Saccharomyces cerevisiae S288C: one gene and its partners. Changing the gene in region 4 together with the main gene of any one other region gives a genetic interaction. Each region holds a gene or a part of one and is shown on either strand. Other genes may lie near its edges.

What was found.
Region 1: mutations in SYF2 (region 4) and CWC21 are lethal when combined (synthetic lethality), as found in Saccharomyces cerevisiae (3 studies listed by BioGRID, with this or other methods).
Region 2: mutations in SYF2 (region 4) and ECM2 together harm fitness more than expected from each alone (negative genetic interaction), as found in Saccharomyces cerevisiae (3 studies listed by BioGRID).
Region 3: mutations in SYF2 (region 4) and ISY1 are lethal when combined (synthetic lethality), as found in Saccharomyces cerevisiae (4 studies listed by BioGRID, with this or other methods).

What each region holds. Positions count from the first base shown.
Region 1 is NC_001136.10:1,419,238-1,423,645, forward strand, and holds CWC21 (U2-type spliceosomal complex subunit CWC21), read right to left. Parts: upstream 1,602-4,408; coding exon 1,194-1,601; downstream 1-1,193. Other genes in the region: alkaline phosphatase PHO8, read right to left, coding at 1-1,013; alpha-1,2-mannosyltransferase KRE2, read left to right, coding at 1,920-3,248; VPS52 (Vps52p), read left to right, coding at 3,526-4,408. UniProt on the Saccharomyces cerevisiae protein: Involved in pre-mRNA splicing. May function at or prior to the first catalytic step of splicing at the catalytic center of the spliceosome, together with ISY1. May do so by stabilizing the catalytic center or the position of the RNA substrate.
Region 2 is NC_001134.8:367,461-372,644, reverse strand, and holds ECM2 (Pre-mRNA-splicing factor ECM2), read left to right. Parts: upstream 1-2,966; coding exon 2,967-4,061; downstream 4,062-5,184. Other genes in the region: TIP1 (putative lipase), read left to right, coding at 1-542; NRG2 (Nrg2p), read left to right, coding at 1,946-2,608; CNM1 (Cnm1p), read left to right, coding at 4,461-5,184. UniProt on the Saccharomyces cerevisiae protein: Involved in pre-mRNA splicing. Facilitates the cooperative formation of U2/U6 helix II in association with stem II in the spliceosome. Binds to RNA.
Region 3 is NC_001142.9:525,607-530,461, forward strand, and holds ISY1 (Isy1p), read left to right. Parts: upstream 1-3,090; coding exon 3,091-3,798; downstream 3,799-4,855. Other genes in the region: CYC1 (cytochrome c), read left to right, coding at 729-1,058; UTR1 (NADH/NAD(+) kinase), read right to left, coding at 1,278-2,870; OSM1 (fumarate reductase), read left to right, coding at 4,255-4,855. UniProt on the Saccharomyces cerevisiae protein: Involved in pre-mRNA splicing and cell cycle control.
Region 4 is NC_001139.9:748,245-752,762, forward strand, and holds SYF2 (Syf2p), read left to right. Parts: upstream 1-2,155; coding exon 2,156-2,803; downstream 2,804-4,518. Other genes in the region: UTP8 (Utp8p), read right to left, coding at 1-1,847; YGR130C (uncharacterized protein), read right to left, coding at 3,150-4,518.

The DNA of each region.
Region 1 (4,408 bases), on a different chromosome or scaffold from region 4:
GGATCGTTTTGGTGACCAGCATGATCAATTCTGGAGCCTTCCACCATTAAGAAAAACCCATTAGAATCTTTGTCCTCATTGGAAGCTTTTTCCAAGGCACCCAAAGCCACCTTGACTTGTTCCTTAAGGGAAGGATACTCCTTTTCATCTCTGTCAATTTCAAAAGGAATGTCGTTATCTGCAAAGAGACCCAAGAAAGGTAAAGTAACGTTTTCACCGTGGCTTTTCAACAAAGAATCAAAATTTTTACGGTCACCCACGTACTGCCAGCCATTAGATTGAGCCTCATCGATTAAATCTCTTCCATCTTTTCTAGCACCGTGGTGACCATATGGAGAAGCCTTTTCGCCTTGAGGGTAGAAATGGCTCCTGCCGCCACCCATGAGTAAGTCTACTACTCTCCCCAGAGGATATTCGCCTAACTGGTGCGTAGCGATAAGATCTTCCTGCCATCTGTAATCAACATGTGAACTGAATGAAGCCGGAGTGGCATCTGTGATTCTTGTCGTAACAACAAGCCCAGTGAGATAACCTGCTAACTTAGCCGCCTCGAGCACTGTACCACAAGGTCTGTGATGCGGATCAACACCGATGGCCCCATTATAGCTCTTTAATGCACATGCAAATGCGGTGGCGCCCGCAGCTGAGTCAGTGACTAGTGAGTCCGAGGACCTTGTTCTCGAAGACCCGATAAAATGCTCGTCAAGTGTCAGGATGTCGTCTATAGGTAAATCATTAACATGCTGGTTGAATGATCTTGCCATGGACAAAGACGCAGGTCCCATCCCATCCGTCACGAAGAATATGACATTCTTCTTCTTGTGTGATGCAGAACGTAATGCAAAACTGCTTGGAAATGCCAGTTGCACTAAAACCAGCAACAAACCAATACAGACCACAGTGGATACTATTATCTTTGATCTCTTCGAGATCCGTCTCTTTTTAGGACGAGAGCTCGAGTCAGATCCAGGAACAAGACGTGTCTGTTCGCTTGGTAATGTGTGAGTCATCATGCTGCTAATGCGCGTTCAAATAATGTCCCGTATGCTGATATGTAAATGTTTATGTAGCCACTTGCTGGCAAAATGTGGAGCACGAAAAAATATAAACGTTTAGATACACTTCTTTCTTTATATACTAAAATCCCTTTACTTTTCCTCTACGCGCGAAGCTTATCGCTATCGTCAATGCTGCTATTCATGTCGATGCTGCTCTTCCGTTAGACGCGCCTTACGAGGGGTGTACAAAGAGGACATCCGCTGCTGTTCTTGCCACTCGTTCGTCAGTTTTGCCCTCAACGCTTCACATTTCTTGTCAATCTGCTCTTCCGAGAGCGTTTCTTCCTCCTCCAGTCGGTCCCGTAGCTCGCTAACTTGTACTTCAATCTCACGTTTCTCCATATGAGTCTCTATCTGTTTCTGCACAGCAAGAGGCCTGCTTGCCTTGTCATGGCTGGCCTTTTTGATCGCATTTTGTCGTTGTTGCCGCTGCTGTTGACTACCCTGTGGTCTGCGCCTATTGTTGCTAGCAAGTGATCGCTGCACGTGGCCCGACGTAGATGACCCTTTTGCCGACTTGAGCCCTATTCCGTTGTACGACATGACTGGACGGTGATGCAGTAGCTGTTAACCGTCGAATGGTATTGTGTAGAGCTCAAATTAGGATTACACAGATTATAATACCACACTTATAGTGCCATTCTTGAGGTCTTACTTGATTCTTCCTTGCCTTTACCCGCACGCTTAATATAATTTTTCCTTCTTATCTGCTACGCCTTCTTCTAGTAGGAAAAAAAAAAGAAATTTGGTGAAGAAACAGTCTGAAAAGGAGATAATTTGCGATTTAATTCGTTTATACATTTTATGAATCTATAATACTGGAAGTGATATCCATATTCGCAAGCAGTTCCACTCGAAAGCATGGCCCTCTTTCTCAGTAAGAGACTGTTGAGATTTACCGTCATTGCAGGTGCGGTTATTGTTCTCCTCCTAACATTGAATTCCAACAGTAGAACTCAGCAATATATTCCGAGTTCCATCTCCGCTGCATTTGATTTTACCTCAGGATCTATATCCCCTGAACAACAAGTCATCTCTGAGGAAAATGATGCTAAAAAATTAGAGCAAAGTGCTCTGAATTCAGAGGCAAGCGAAGACTCCGAAGCCATGGATGAAGAATCCAAGGCTCTGAAAGCTGCCGCTGAAAAGGCAGATGCCCCGATCGACACTAAAACAACCATGGATTATATCACTCCATCTTTTGCTAACAAAGCTGGTAAGCCAAAAGCTTGTTACGTCACTTTGGTGAGAAACAAGGAGTTGAAAGGTTTGCTAAGCTCCATTAAATATGTGGAAAACAAAATTAACAAGAAATTCCCATATCCTTGGGTTTTCCTAAACGATGAACCTTTTACTGAAGAATTCAAGGAAGCAGTCACCAAAGCTGTTTCTTCCGAAGTTAAGTTTGGTATTTTGCCCAAGGAACATTGGTCATATCCTGAATGGATTAATCAAACCAAGGCTGCTGAAATTCGTGCAGATGCTGCCACCAAATACATATACGGTGGCTCCGAATCTTATAGACACATGTGTCGTTACCAATCTGGGTTTTTCTGGAGACATGAATTATTAGAAGAGTACGATTGGTACTGGCGTGTGGAACCAGACATCAAGTTATACTGTGATATTAATTACGACGTTTTTAAGTGGATGCAAGAAAACGAAAAAGTTTACGGCTTTACCGTTTCTATTCATGAATATGAAGTGACGATCCCAACACTATGGCAAACGTCCATGGATTTCATCAAAAAGAACCCCGAATACTTAGATGAAAACAACCTGATGAGTTTTCTTTCGAACGATAATGGTAAAACATACAATCTGTGCCATTTCTGGTCAAACTTTGAAATTGCAAACTTGAATTTGTGGAGGTCACCAGCCTACAGAGAGTATTTTGACACTTTGGATCATCAAGGTGGATTTTTCTACGAAAGATGGGGCGATGCTCCCGTTCATTCTATTGCTGCTGCTTTGTTTTTGCCAAAGGATAAAATCCATTATTTTTCAGACATTGGTTACCATCATCCACCTTATGATAACTGCCCATTGGACAAGGAGGTCTATAACAGTAACAACTGTGAATGTGACCAAGGTAATGATTTCACTTTCCAAGGTTACTCTTGTGGTAAGGAATATTATGATGCTCAAGGGTTGGTAAAGCCAAAAAACTGGAAAAAATTCCGTGAGTAGAAATCTTGGAACATACTGTTTCTTTGTTTTGACTTTATACTTTCTATTTATATTTTATTTTTATAACTGGTTAAGTACACATAGGACTGCGTATCAAACATATAAGTGAGGCAATCCACATTTTTTTTAAAGATTCGAATATTTTTATTCTCATTAGCGTATTCCGAGAATAGTTCGAAAAAATATAAGGTATATCAAGAGTTTTTACAAGTGAGAGGAAAGAGGAATAAGCTATAAGCAACAAAAGCGTAAAAAAATTAGCTGAAGACATAGAACTATGGATGTTCTCAAAGAGGTGTTGTCACTAGACCAAGATAAATTTGACCAGCTGAAGGAAACGAGCCGAGATAAAACAAATGAAACGGATGATCCTTTTGAAAACTATTTGAAGGATTGTAAATTTAAAGCGCCTTCAAACAAAGATCAGTCACCATTTGCTAAACTTAAATCATTACAGGAAACTCATTCTAACAATGAAGCGGCTATTAATATAATTATTCCTCAATTGATTGATTACTTAACCGAATTCACTAATAGGTTATCAAATTACACACAAGATTTAGACTTCATTAAAAAAAAGTCCAATGAATTACAGTCATTGCTCGAATACAACTCCACTAAACTGGCACATATCTCTCCTATGGTTAATGATTTGATGATTCCTCCTGAACTCATTGATGACATCATTAAAGGGAAGATCAATGAAAGCTGGCAGGATAATATAACATTCATAGCAGATAAAGAAGAAATTTATAACAAGTATAGGTCCAATAATCTCGATCAAGACAACAAGGACGCAGAAAATTCAGCAATGCTAGCACCAAAGGATTTTGATAAGTTATGTCAACTCCTGGACATCCTAAAAAATGTTATTCTAGAAAGGTCGAAAAGACTTATTATTTCCAAAATCAAAACTTTGAGGAGTCATAACCCAGTACCATCGCAAAGGATACAAAACAAATTATTAAAAGTTCAAAAAATTTTCCCCTTCATAAGAGATAATAATCTCTCCTTAGCCCTTGAGTTAAGACAGGCATATTGTTACACAATGAAATGGTATTATAGAGAATACTTTTCTAGATATATCAGGTCATTGACTATTTTGCAATTTCAACAAATCGACTCGCAATTTGCATTGGGTAATGGCCTTTCTACAACTT
Region 2 (5,184 bases), on a different chromosome or scaffold from region 4:
CTATTATCGGTGACATCAACTCTCATCTTTCTGACTACTTGGGTCTAGAAACTGGCAACAGTGGATTCCAAATTCCATCTGATGTCTTGAGTGTGTATCAACAAGTCATGACTTACACCGATGACGCTTACACTACCTTGTTTAGTGAATTGGACTTTGATGCTATCACTAAGACAATTGTTAAATTGCCATGGTACACCACAAGATTGAGTTCTGAAATCGCTGCTGCTCTTGCCTCCGTTTCCCCAGCTTCTTCCGAGGCTGCATCTTCTTCCGAGGCTGCATCTTCTTCCAAGGCTGCATCTTCTTCCGAAGCTACATCCTCTGCCGCTCCATCCTCTTCTGCTGCCCCATCTTCTTCTGCTGCCCCATCATCATCTGCCGAATCATCTTCTAAGGCCGTTTCTTCTTCTGTCGCTCCAACTACCTCTTCTGTCAGCACTTCTACAGTCGAAACTGCTTCCAATGCCGGTCAAAGAGTCAATGCAGGCGCTGCCTCTTTCGGTGCTGTTGTTGCAGGTGCAGCTGCTTTATTGTTATAAAAGGGAACCTTTTACAACAAATATTTGAAAAATTACCTCCATTATTATACCTTCTCTTTATGTAATTGTTAGTTCGAAAATTTTTTCTTCATTAATATAATCAACTTCTAAAACTTTCTAAAAACGTTCTCTTTTTCGAGATTAGTGCTTCTTCCCAATCCGTAAGAAATGTTTCCTTTCTTGACAATTGGCACCAGCTGGCTACTCGTTGCTCGAAAACTACTCTCTTTTATTTTTAATTTACGAACGATTATCTTTCGAAGGAACGACCAAACGAGCTAAATATGGGCATCGCCAACGTTAAAAAAATGGACCCTACCGAAGACGTTATTATGCCAAGGCGCAGCGAAGAGTCTTTCTCCTTGAGAAAAAATATGCATGAAACAAAATAGACAGGACCAGACCCTCTTCGGGAAAAAAAGTCAAGATTTAACACGTGGCTACACCGGCTGGCTTACAACCAACCAACATAAGATCAAACAACCCTCAAGTTTAGAAAATGCCTTAATAGCAACCTCTAAAACCATAGACTTCTCCATTTTCACGTGCTAAAAAAGTTCGGGTATGATGTCATACAAATCCTTTCAACAAAAGATGCTTCAAGATCAATGGCACTCGAGATCATAAATCCCTGCAGAGCAGCGGCTCTGCATATAGAATAACAAACAAATCGTATTTTTCCCGAAGCCAAGAAAAAAAGGAGACTATAACCTTTCAAGCCAGACGGAAAACTATCTGCCCAAGGACAAACTGGCATGGGCTGCTTCAATGTTCGGCTACCTTTTTTCTCTTTTAACGGGGTTTGGTATTTTTTTTCTTTACTTCATAAACGAATGTTAAACGACTGTGAAAAAGCCATCCCTGGATTATGCGAGAGTACTCTCAGGGCACCCGTCCGTTTAAAGACCCCAGGCCAAAATAAAAATTTCTTGAAGGAAAAAAATACACAGGGCCTTGAACTGAATACAAAGCCATCTTTTTTCTCGTTTGTCAGCACGTCCCAGAAAAACGCGCAGCCGTAGCTCTTGATAAGTGGCTTCTGCGTTTTGCAACGCTTTTCTGATCTCATGTTTTCTTATGCTGCGGGACATCATTGTCGTTGAGAAAAGTTTCAATTTCAAACGAACTGCCTACCGTTGCATTCTCCTTGGAGAAGGGCCTGAGTTTAGGGGAATCACGTCTGGCTATTACATGCTACATCGTGCAGTAGCTCCTACATCGCTAACAGGCAAATCCTACACCCTCTTTAAATCGTTTATCTTTTATATATTATCTGGCCTAAATTTTTACATATAAATATTTATCATATTATGACAGCTCAAATGAATTTCCGGCACCAAGTCATATGAGCACTCGCTACTGTTCGAAGAACAAAAAATATAAAGCTTCTACAAAATTTCCAGATGTCCATAGGTTACAAAGACAACTTGATGTCAACTATTCTAGCTAAAGATAGGAAATGTGAATTTCCCATCAATTTCGAATGTTCGCCCTCCCAGATAACTCTTATGCCTGAAATGTTCTCTTTTAACAATGAAAGGAAATACCAAACCCTGATACCCTTGATGAAAACATCACATCTAATTGATGATGACTTGAAAGATAAATTGAATAAGTGCGCTTTCGATTTTTTCTCCGGAAAACAAGCGAACAGAACGAGTGACGGGACTATTTCAAGATTAACAGCAAGTGGAAAAACGTCACCGATACTGCCATTGCAAAATATTAATATTGTAAAAGCAGAGAATACCGGTAACGGTAAATCAGATCCATATAGCTCAATTAAAATAAGCAAACCGACAAAAACCGTGATAAAATTGAAATCTACGAAAACCAATACAGCAGGACAGAGGACTCGTCATTTCTGTAAGATCTGCTCTACTGGGTTCACCACTTCTGGTCATCTTTCAAGACATAACAGAATCCATACAGGTGAAAAAAATCATATCTGTCCGCATGAGGGCTGTGGACAGAGGTTTAGTAGACATGATAACTGTAATCAGCATTATCGAACTCATGCAAACAAGAAGAAAAGAAACTGGAAGAGGAGGGAGGCTAGCAGTTGATGTGAGTGAGCTCAGCCAAAAACATTTAAATATTCAAATAACGTACAAATAAAAGACTGATAAATAGTAATAAAACTAAGCGGGTTAGTAATACTCACCAAGAACAATAGCAGGAACGATAGTCGGTTCTCTTTCGTAATTTTTTTAAGTCACAACCCGGAGGGACGTGAAGTTTCAAACCTTATTCATTCCGGGATTACCCTCTCCTGTGATGACGTTTAGGCAATAAGGACTAAAAAAAAAAAAAAGAAATGCTATGGCAAATTTTATTGATAGAAGTGGTAATGATGATGGAAGGGCTTTTGAGCAGGTGAATAGAAGGTAGCTAACGGAAAAGAGTTATTGCACCCTTAATATAATGAATGATGAAATTAATGAGCCACCGCCCAATATATGTGAGCAGTGCTTAGGTGATGAGGCTAATATACGAATGACTAAAATTCCACAAGGCTCTGAATGTAAGATTTGTACCTTACCGTTCACCTTATACCATTTTAAGACGTCTAAACGAAGCAATAATATCATTAAAACATTAATATGTGTACGGTGCGCCACTCAGAGAAACATTTGTCAATGCTGTATGCTTGATTCAAGATGGCACATCCCTATACAACTGCGGGATCATTTAATATCCCTTGTGAACGAGGAAAACGTTATGACGGAGGAAGCAAAAAACGACATGATGAAAAGGTTTCTGTCACTAAAAAACGTGAAATTAGGAGGAGCTCAGATTACGAGTGATCCGTCAGAAGCAGATAATATCGTTGATAAATTGAAAAATATACTTCTGCGAGCAACATCAGATGGCCCAAGTACTCCGTTAATAAAAAACACAACTGCATTGTATAAAAATGAAAAAGGTGCAAATGAGGTCAAAAACTTGGAAAAGTACGCGTCCGTGGACATTTCTCATATTTTGAAGAAACTACCCTTGAATGAATCGTTTTTAAAAAACCCCTCCACCAAATCATTTTTTCTGTATAATATTGATGCCTCGATCCCTGAATGGAAAATAACTGATACAGTTTCGCAATTATTGGGTATAAAGAAATGGAAGGATGGAAATTCATTGTCATTAATAGTCAACCACAAGGCGAAGTGTGGTGGCCTAAGATTTCAATCTAGTGAATTGGGGGAGCGGTTTGTCAGTAAAATAAGTGAGACACTTGTCACACCAAAGGGCCTAAAGAGAGGAGTTTTACTTATTGACCGTTTTAGAATCTTTATCATTCCGTGGTCGTCTGGCTTTTCAGCTGCGTCATTCGGAACCAACACTGCAGAAAATATAAAACTTAGTTTAAGTTTGAATAAGCTTATTCAGTTGGAGCTAGGGCTTTCTTTTCCTACAAAAAGCACAGATAACGCAAAGAATGACAAGAAAAAGACATCAAAAAAAGTTCATAAGGACAGATCAAAGAAATCGAAACCTCGCGCTAACAAGTTAACAATATAGATGAAACGTAAGAAAAATCATGGGTTGAAGAAACGAACTGTTTGATCAATTTCGACCATCCATCTACCTTGCAAGTAATAAACAAAAGCAGGTTGAGTGGGGAACTTTATCTAAGTTGATCAGTATATCTGACAAATTTATACGGAATGCTGCAGTTTGGATTAGCACGAACATTTTATCTGTACGGTTTGTCGCTTTTAGCTGCTCGGGCTCTTCCTCTCGGTTACCGAGATGATAACTCGGCCGAATTTTGTAAGTACAAATAAAAAGAAAGTGACACAATTCTAAAAGTATCACTATAATTTATTATTTTGAGAAAGATAAGGTTCCATAGGTACATGATATATTGACTGATTTCTGATAGCTCTTTTTTTTCCAATATCGATAAAAAACTAAAATATGGAGGAACTAGGTTTAAAAAGCACTTTTCCATATGAATATGGCTCAGACTTTACAATGATAAGAACGGAAATGTTAAATACTACGAAGAGCGAAACAACTATTTTATTTTCCAATATAAAGAGCATTTTGGCCATTATTTGGAAATACTCATTTACATTTTTAAGATCTTTTTCCGATTCCATCAAACTTATTATTGACGATGTTGTCACTATTGGCTCCCGAAATTTTGCAGAGAGATTACAGATTGAAGCGAAAAAAAACAATGACCAAGAAGATATCTGGGCATCCACAATAATTTTGGGTGTGATTATCGGGTATTTAATCTCTTCTATTAAGAGAAAGAACACTTTTCCAATAATGCCTACGAGCTCACCTAAAATAGATGATTGTAGGTTCAAGACTGGTGATACCATATCCATTGTAATAAACTTTAATGAAGACTGCCTCAATAATCGAAGTGACGTTACCGAAGAGAGAAATTATGAGGAATCCACAGTTTTACATTCAAAGGAGTCAGTTCTCAGCATTGGTAGGCAAAATATGGTAACTTTGAACCAAAGCGATGAAAATTTCACCTATGGCAATTTTGATGAGTACGACTTATTAACTAAAGATTATACAACAGAGGTCTTAACGCGATCACCTGGCTCGAATCCCGAGTTTAAAGCAGTGGTAAATAATACATTACTTGATAGCGCGAATGAAACGCCGTTTAAAGGTA
Region 3 (4,855 bases), on a different chromosome or scaffold from region 4:
CTTTGAACGAAGAAAGGAAAGCAGGAAAGGAAAAAATTTTTAGGCTCGAGAACAATAGGGCGAAAAAACAGGCAACGAACGAACAATGGAAAAACGAAAAAAAAAAAAAAAAACACAGAAAAGAATGCAGAAAGATGTCAACTGAAAAAAAAAAAGGTGAACACAGGAAAAAAAATAAAAAAAAAAAAAAAAAAAGGAGGACGAAACAAAAAAGTGAAAAAAAATGAAAATTTTTTTGGAAAACCAAGAAATGAATTATATTTCCGTGTGAGACGACATCGTCGAATATGATTCAGGGTAACAGTATTGATGTAATCAATTTCCTACCTGAATCTAAAATTCCCGGGAGCAAGATCAAGATGTTTTCACCGATCTTTCCGGTCTCTTTGGCCGGGGTTTACGGACGATGGCAGAAGACCAAAGCGCCAGTTCATTTGGCGAGCGTTGGTTGGTGGATCAAGCCCACGCGTAGGCAATCCTCGAGCAGATCCGCCAGGCGTGTATATATAGCGTGGATGGCCAGGCAACTTTAGTGCTGACACATACAGGCATATATATATGTGTGCGACGACACATGATCATATGGCATGCATGTGCTCTGTATGTATATAAAACTCTTGTTTTCTTCTTTTCTCTAAATATTCTTTCCTTATACATTAGGACCTTTGCAGCATAAATTACTATACTTCTATAGACACACAAACACAAATACACACACTAAATTAATAATGACTGAATTCAAGGCCGGTTCTGCTAAGAAAGGTGCTACACTTTTCAAGACTAGATGTCTACAATGCCACACCGTGGAAAAGGGTGGCCCACATAAGGTTGGTCCAAACTTGCATGGTATCTTTGGCAGACACTCTGGTCAAGCTGAAGGGTATTCGTACACAGATGCCAATATCAAGAAAAACGTGTTGTGGGACGAAAATAACATGTCAGAGTACTTGACTAACCCAAAGAAATATATTCCTGGTACCAAGATGGCCTTTGGTGGGTTGAAGAAGGAAAAAGACAGAAACGACTTAATTACCTACTTGAAAAAAGCCTGTGAGTAAACAGGCCCCTTTTCCTTTGTCGATATCATGTAATTAGTTATGTCACGCTTACATTCACGCCCTCCTCCCACATCCGCTCTAACCGAAAAGGAAGGAGTTAGACAACCTGAAGTCTAGGTCCCTATTTATTTTTTTTAATAGTTATGTTAGTATTAAGAACGTTATTTATATTTCAAATTTTTCTTTTTTTTCTGTACAAACGCGTGTACGCATGTAACATTATACTGAAAACCTTGCTTGAGAAGGTTTTGGGACGCTCGAAGGCTTTAATTTGCAAGCTTCGCAGTTTACACTCTCATCGTCGCTCTCATCATCGCTTCCGTTGTTGTTTTCCTTAGTAGCGTCTGCTTCCAGAGAGTATTTATCTCTTATTACCTCTAAAGGTTCTGCTTGATTTCTGACTTTGTTCGCCTCATGTGCATATTTTTCTTGGTTCTTTTGGGACAAAATATGCGTAAAGGACTTTTGTTGTTCCCTCACATTCCAGTTTAGTTGTCGACTGATACTGTTAATAAACTCATCGGGCGAGGCTTCCACGGTTGGAAAAGCATATGGGCTGGCGCATATGGTTATAAAATCACCTTTTTGCAATTCAATTCTATCTTTCCCATCAAAAGCCGCCCATGCTGGAGCCCTTGACTTCATCGAGACTTTCACTTTTAAATTTATACTTTCTGGTAAGATGATGGGTCTGAAACTCAATGCATGTGGACAAATGGGTGTTAAAGCGATTGCATTGACGGTTGGGCATACCAATGACCCACCTGCACTCAAAGAATAGGCCGTGGACCCAGTCGGAGTAGCAGCAATCAGTCCGTCCGCCTGCGCAACGGTCATTAATGAGCCGTCACCATACAATTCTAACATGGATAGAAAAGGACTTGGACCACGATCGATGGTCACTTCGTTCAAAATGTGGTGTGTGCTTAGTTTTTCCACCACACATATTTTCTTCCCCGTGTTTGGGTCTACTTCAGGGCGGTGTCTACGATAAATTGTGCACTCCAACCTCAACCGTAAATTTGTCTTGATTTTATGATTCATAATCCGAGGTAAATCCTCCCTGAAATGTTCAAACTTAAAATTTGTTAAAAATCCTAGAGACCCTAATGAAAACGACATAACGGGTGGTACATGTCTCTGAAAAATGGAACTTACAAAAAGAACAGTACCGTCGCCACCCAAAGTCACTACCAAATCGAAGAAAACATCATGTTCCCTGATGAAATCCTTTGTCCAATACTTGATCCTTGATTCTCTACATTTACTATCTTCACATAACTCGCCAGCGGCAAATTTTTTGCTGTTTTTCAATTCGGAATCCACATAAACAGTCACACGTGGAAAATGTACCAAAACCCATTCTACCAACTCTCTTGTTAAGAAATACAGTGAGACATCGTTGAGTTTCGTAACAATCATCAAATTTTCCACATCCAGTTCCACTTTGGTATTAGATATATCTTTACTCAACATTCTTACACCATACGCCGTGGAGGCATACTGAAAGTGTGTATTACTACTCTTAGAACTTCCTCTTGTTCCGTTAATGCTCGTACCACCGCCACTGTTTGCATTGCCGTTCACGAGAGATGAATCTTTATTCAACAGGGAGCTTCTGCGCGAGCTGCTTTCACTTGATATTTTCCTCAACATTTCTTTGGCGTTGTCGATATCCTGAGTTCTATCAATTTGCTCATTGTTCATCATGGCCTTCTTCATCAAGTTATTATTGTTGTTATGATGATCATTTCGACCATCTTCCTCATTTACCCATTTATCTACGCCATTATTCATGTCATTCTCCTTCATCTCAAGAGCTTTTACTCTACTTATTTAGGGAGCCTATTGTATTTTTTTTTGGCTTACGATCACGATGTCAATGATCATTTGCCCTATTATACCTTTTTCTCCGTTCTCTTTGCGTAGTGCGGTGAAATAATTTCAGGATGCATGAAAGAGCAAATAAAAGTGACACACCGTTATATCGCAAGGCGCACCACATCAGTAATCAGATACCTGTGCATTCAAAATGAGTAGAAATGTAGATAAGGCCAACTCAGTTCTGGTACGATTTCAAGAGCAGCAAGCAGAGTCGGCAGGTGGATACAAGGATTATTCACGTTACCAGAGGCCCAGGAACGTGTCTAAGGTAAAATCCATAAAAGAGGCCAACGAATGGAAGCGACAAGTAAGTAAAGAGATAAAACAAAAAAGCACAAGAATATATGATCCGTCTTTAAATGAAATGCAGATTGCGGAACTTAACGACGAACTTAATAATCTTTTCAAAGAATGGAAGAGATGGCAGTGGCACATTGACCATACACTTATGGAAAAAAAAACCAAGAGGAAAAGGTTAGAAGACAGTCATGTGCTGATGAATTCAGGAAAGCTGATAAATGGTAAGAGATATTTTGGAAGAGCCCTGGAATTGCCTGAAGTAAAAGAATGGCTCAAGCAGTCTCAAAGGCAGAATGATGGGGGTTCTATAAACACCAAATGCATACCGAAGGATAGAAATGATTTTTATTACCATGGCAAAGTCACAGCCGCCTTAACCGAATTTGAGGCTAACTGGACATCCATTTTGAAAGCACATTATAATGTGCCTGTGAATGAAGATGAAGAAGAAATGTCAAGGCAGACACAAGAAATCCATGTACCAACTCTGGCAGATATGGAGCATTGGTTAGTGCAAAGAAGAAAAAAGAAACTAATGGATGAACTTAACCTTTAGCTATGGAAAATTATTCAAACATTTAGAAGAGGCACTATTTCGAATGACCATCACAAGCATTATAATCTTCAAACATGTCCGAGCTGCAGATATGAAGTAAAATAGTGATCGGGACTCATTTTTTTTTCTTCTATGATATCATATTGTCCCGTTCGTTATTAAATGTAATTCTTCCACCGTACTAGTTATCGAAGGCAAGATCTCCTTTTTACGCTTAGGTAGATTACATAGATTTCATAATGTACACCAATACAAATGTATCTTATACACTCGTCAAATCTTATATGAATCATGCAGGAGTAGCTCTCGTTTTCTTTTTACGAGCTACTTGAAAAAAAAAAACTAGCGAAAATCCTTTGCTTAGAAATCCAGATTTAAAACAAAACCGCCGAAAAGGGAAAGATTTTATGATAGGAAATACCTTAATAATTCTATATCATCCCGAGTCTTAGGAAAATGATTAGATCTGTGAGAAGGGTTTTCATTTACGTCTCAATATTCGTATTGATAATAGTTTTGAAAAGAACATTAAGTGGCACAGATCAAACGTCAATGAAACAACCAGTGGTGGTCATTGGCTCTGGTTTGGCAGGCTTAACCACAAGTAATCGTCTCATTAGTAAATACAGAATTCCTGTTGTGCTTTTGGATAAGGCGGCTTCTATTGGTGGGAATTCTATAAAGGCTTCTAGTGGTATTAATGGTGCTCACACAGACACTCAACAAAATTTAAAGGTAATGGACACTCCCGAATTGTTTTTGAAAGATACTTTGCATTCGGCTAAAGGCAGAGGGGTTCCATCACTGATGGATAAGTTGACTAAGGAATCCAAGAGTGCTATCAGGTGGTTGCAAACAGAATTCGATTTGAAATTAGACCTCCTTGCGCAATTGGGCGGTCACTCTGTTCCAAGGACCCATAGATCTTCTGGCAAATTACCACCAGGTTTTGAAATCGTGCAAGCGTTATCAAAAAAACTAAAGGATATCTCTTCCAAAGATTCCAATCTCGTGCAGATTATGCTAAACAGTGAAGTAGTGGATATCGAGCTTGATA
Region 4 (4,518 bases):
CTTGTTATGAACTCAATGAAATTTTGAACGTCTAATTTACTTAGTTTCTTCATTTCTTGTTTAATAGAGTCTCTGGTGAAATCCTGCAAAATCCTAAATGAGATATCAAGTAATAGTTCCCTGTTTCTGATAGAAAACAATTCTTCAAGTAGTTCATTTAATGGCAAGTTTGGGCATGTTACAATTGCTTGTTTAAATAATCTAGGTTGGTCTCTTAGTAAGGATAGCAAGTTGCGTGTACGACTCAATGGAAACAATGGGTGTGTCAATAAAAACGTTAAAGTTTTTGGATAATCATTTCCGCTAAACTTTCCGAAAATTAGATCTAAAACTTTATTCAAAAAGCCAGGATCAGAAATATATCTATCTTTTTCAGTATAATGTTCTTCTTTGATTTTTAGTTCTTTGAAAAATATGTCATCAAATGATGTAATGTCATTATCTTGAAGGGCTGAAAGCTTTTCAATAACTTCATTACAGTGGAGGACTGGAACGCTTGAATCCCCGCTGACGTCGTTACATTTCACTCTCTTGTCATTTATGTCTTTATCATCAAATAGCGGCTTTAAAATAACTGAGCTATCATTATTTCCAACTTGAAAACTCTTGCCTAATGAGTCCTTCAACGTATTAGTTCCAACATCAATATTAATTATTTCTAAGGAAGACGTTGGGTTTGGTCCATTTTTCGTTGAAATACCAATTGCTATTGTTTTTGAATTATGCGACTTTTCTGAATTGATCACTGCAGATTTTAATAGTTGGAATGTTTTCACGTGAGTTAATTCTCTTTGGCTTAAAGTAGAACAATGCAGTAAGTCTAGTAGATAAATGACGTTGTTTACGGTCAGTAGAACTCTGTTTACTGAAACAGGTTGGAAAGAGATTAAGTCATCTCCAGGACTGAGTTTATCCACCATCGGAAATTCAATAACTTGTTGCAATTGGCAATGTGGTAAAGAGTAAATGTATATTTTCCCCTGGTTCAATTTGTAAAGTTTTCCAAATTGATAACAAAGCTTTGAATTTTCAAAAGAAAATCCTTCGATGATAGTAGATGATAATTCTTTTATGGGCGAACTTTCTCCACTGCCACAATCTGTTAGCTCGAGCAATTTATAGCAGACTTTATCATCCTGTAATGGACAGAGAACAAAAACATATTCAGTTCCATTTTCAGTGAACCATTTAGCATATTTTAAGTTATCATAAGATATATCAAATGAATGCAAAAGTGTTAACTTAAAATCAAAAATTTCAATCAACCCGTTCTGTAAAATTGCAATTACTAAGCTGTTCTTGGTGTCAATTTTAATACTCATGACTTTGGCTTTCGCCTTGATCTTATACTGAGATAAAAATTCGTCTGAACCCGTGTATGCTTTATTGTCAATATCACTCTCACTCAGATGGTCATTTGAGGTATCAGTGGTATCTTCCAGTGCCTTAGTGATAACATTTAGCGTATAATTACCCTTATTTACCATTAAACCAAAGGCCCAAATTTCAACATTTCTTTTTTTTTGGGTGTTGATAGTCTTCTCGTTGTTGGCTTCATCATCGGTACTGGCTTCTATATTTCCGTCAATGTTCGCTTGACCTTTCTCAGCATTGCATGCCGTGATAATATTTGTAGAGGGTATTGGGTAATCGAATGTTAACTTTGGTGTAGGATTAATAATATATTGAGATATAGATGACCCGGAAATACCTAACGTTATGTTATTTGTAGATTCATTAAAGGTGCCATCTGCGACTTGAACGTAATCTGCTTGTAAAGAAAAATTGCTCAATGAAGCAATTTTTGGGAGAGTTGCTAGTCTAAATGGTTGAGACAGGGATGGCATTTTGAATCTTTACTATCCTCCGGAATGATTTGCTGTTCAAGGAGCGCTAGGTGTGACATATAATATTACAAATTTAACAGTGACCTCATCTCATCAAAGTTTTCAAATTTTTCAGGCATCTGCTACAGCATAATGAAAAAATTTGAAAAATACAGACATTTCCGTGTAGAATGACAAAAAAGCTAGAATATTACTATATTTTCCTTAAAAGAGCAATATTTGCGATGAGGGGCTCTCAATGACAATGTTTGACTTCTCTATTGAACTGTAAGCGAAGCAAAACCATATCTTGTCAAAGTATTCGAAGAATGGATTTTTACAAATTAGACGAGAAGCTGAAGGAGTTGAAAAGGAAAAGAGTAGATGTATCTATAAAGAGTAGGAAGTTGGCTGACAGAGAGATTCAGGAAGTAAGCGCAAATCGAAAACCAAGAGTATACAGTATGGAAGACGTAAATGATGCAGATGAATCAGTAGGAGATACAGAAAGTCCTGAAAAAGAGAAAGCATTTCATTACACTGTCCAAGAATATGATGCGTGGGAACGTAGGCATCCTCAAGGGAAGACTGGGCAAAGCCAAAGAGGTGGAATTTCCTATGATCAACTTGCAAAATTGAGTTATGAGAAGACCTTGCGGAATCTCGCTACGCAAACACAGAATTCGAGCAAACAGGATAGTTCCGCCGATGAAGAAGACAATAAAAACGTACCCAAGAAGGGTAGAATCGGCAAGGTACAGAAGGACACTAAGACGGGTAAGATAACAATTGCAGATGACGACAAGCTAGTTAATAAGTTGGCCGTTTCTTTGCAATCTGAGTCGAAAAAAAGATACGAAGCAAGAAAAAGACAAATGCAAAATGCAAAAACACTGTATGGGGTTGAAAGCTTCATTAATGACAAAAATAAACAATTCAATGAAAAATTGAGCAGGGAATCAAAAGGATCAGAATAAGCTTCTCTTTTATTTAGAATATACCGATATAACCAAAGGAAAGTTTTAATACCCTGGATTTTTCATCGACCGTCACGTGACGAGCTGAGGTTAAATGCCCGCAAAAGTGCTTCAGAAGAGAGTCCATCTTACTCGGTTATTTGAGCACGAAACACTAGAGAATAACTAACTGGTTGATAAATTGTTGATTGAGTAAATATTGGTACATAAAACGGTTACAAAGAGAGGTAGATTAGGAAGGGTGAAAATAATCAAAGGATAACTTGATGATACTCGACAAAGAATAGAAGAGAAAAATAAAATAGAGGTGGGATATTCCTTGAACAAAAGTGGAATATTATTTTTTTTAGGCATACATGACGTCTTCCTCAGTATGATATTCATACAAGGAATCGTCCTTTGGAAGGACGCTCGTATTCTTTTGTGAACGGTCATTTGGTATTTTGTGGTTTTCAGCCGCGTGTATACCTTCAGCTTGTTTGTGCTGCCTACTCAATATTTCTTGCTTCAAGGCCTCATCAGCGTTTTTCTGGCGAGTTTGTTCCTCGATAGCCTTTTCAGCTTGTAATCGCGTTCTTTCCCTCTTGACTGCCTCCAGTTCTTTCTCTTCGGTTGCCAGCTTATCCTGTAGTTCAGTCAATTGGTCATTATAGGTTTGCTTGACTTGAGTAATTTGCTGCTCATGATCTAATTGAGCCTGATGCGCTTGTTCCTCCAGCTCTTGGCGCTGTTTTTCCAATAAGTTCTCTTCTTTGCGTTTTCTTTCTTCAGCTTCTAGCTTCAACTGTTCTTCATGAGCGCGGCGCTCATCTTCGAGTCTTTTGGTAATTGCCGATAGTTGAGTTTTTTCATTGGCGTTTTCCTGCTTGATTATGGTCACTTCGTTCAATAAGCTTGATATTTGATTATCAATATCATTAATTTGTGGAAGATATTCCTTGTTCTCTACACTTTCCAAAACTTGTACATTTTTTTCATGCAGCTTCTTATTTTCTTCAGTTTGGGTAACCAAATCCTCCTTTTTCTTTTCCAGATTATCGATTTCGTTTTGAACTTTGCCTTGTTTCAAATTAATCTGGTTAATCTTAAAGATCTGAGCATCCAACTGTTGAGATAAGTTACTTAAGTTCGTGGTCCAGTCATTGAACTCCTTTTGGACATTCGTTTTCTCATTGTTCAAATCATCGATTTCTGACTTAACGTTGGTTTGTTTGTCCAAGACCTCATTTTTCTCCTGCAACTTTTGGTTTTTCATATTTTCAGTGTCTTTTAATATCATTAGTTTCTTATTATTATGCTCGGCATTAACATCAATGATTTTTTTGACCAACCGGTTTTTACTAACTTCAATTTTCTCAGAAGTTTCTTCTCTCATGGCCTTCATTGAATTTTCAATTTCGTCAATCTGATTTTGTAAATCTTGTAGCTTTTCTTTGTATTCTTTATTTTTAGCATCATATTTATCCTTTTCCTTTGCTCGAAGATCAGCTAACCATGCTTGATGAATTTTTTCATCATAATTGATTTTATCATAAACTGCCTTTGATAGGTAACCATGTTCTTTTGTCTTTACAATTAATTCAGGATTTTCTGGAGTGGCCACTGGATTGGATGGAGCGGCGGTCTTACTTTTTTGGGTAGATGAAGAAGTAGGGCTTTTCCATAAAGCGAAAATTCCGGTTCTTTCCTTTCGAGAAGGTTCCTGAAAAGGGACC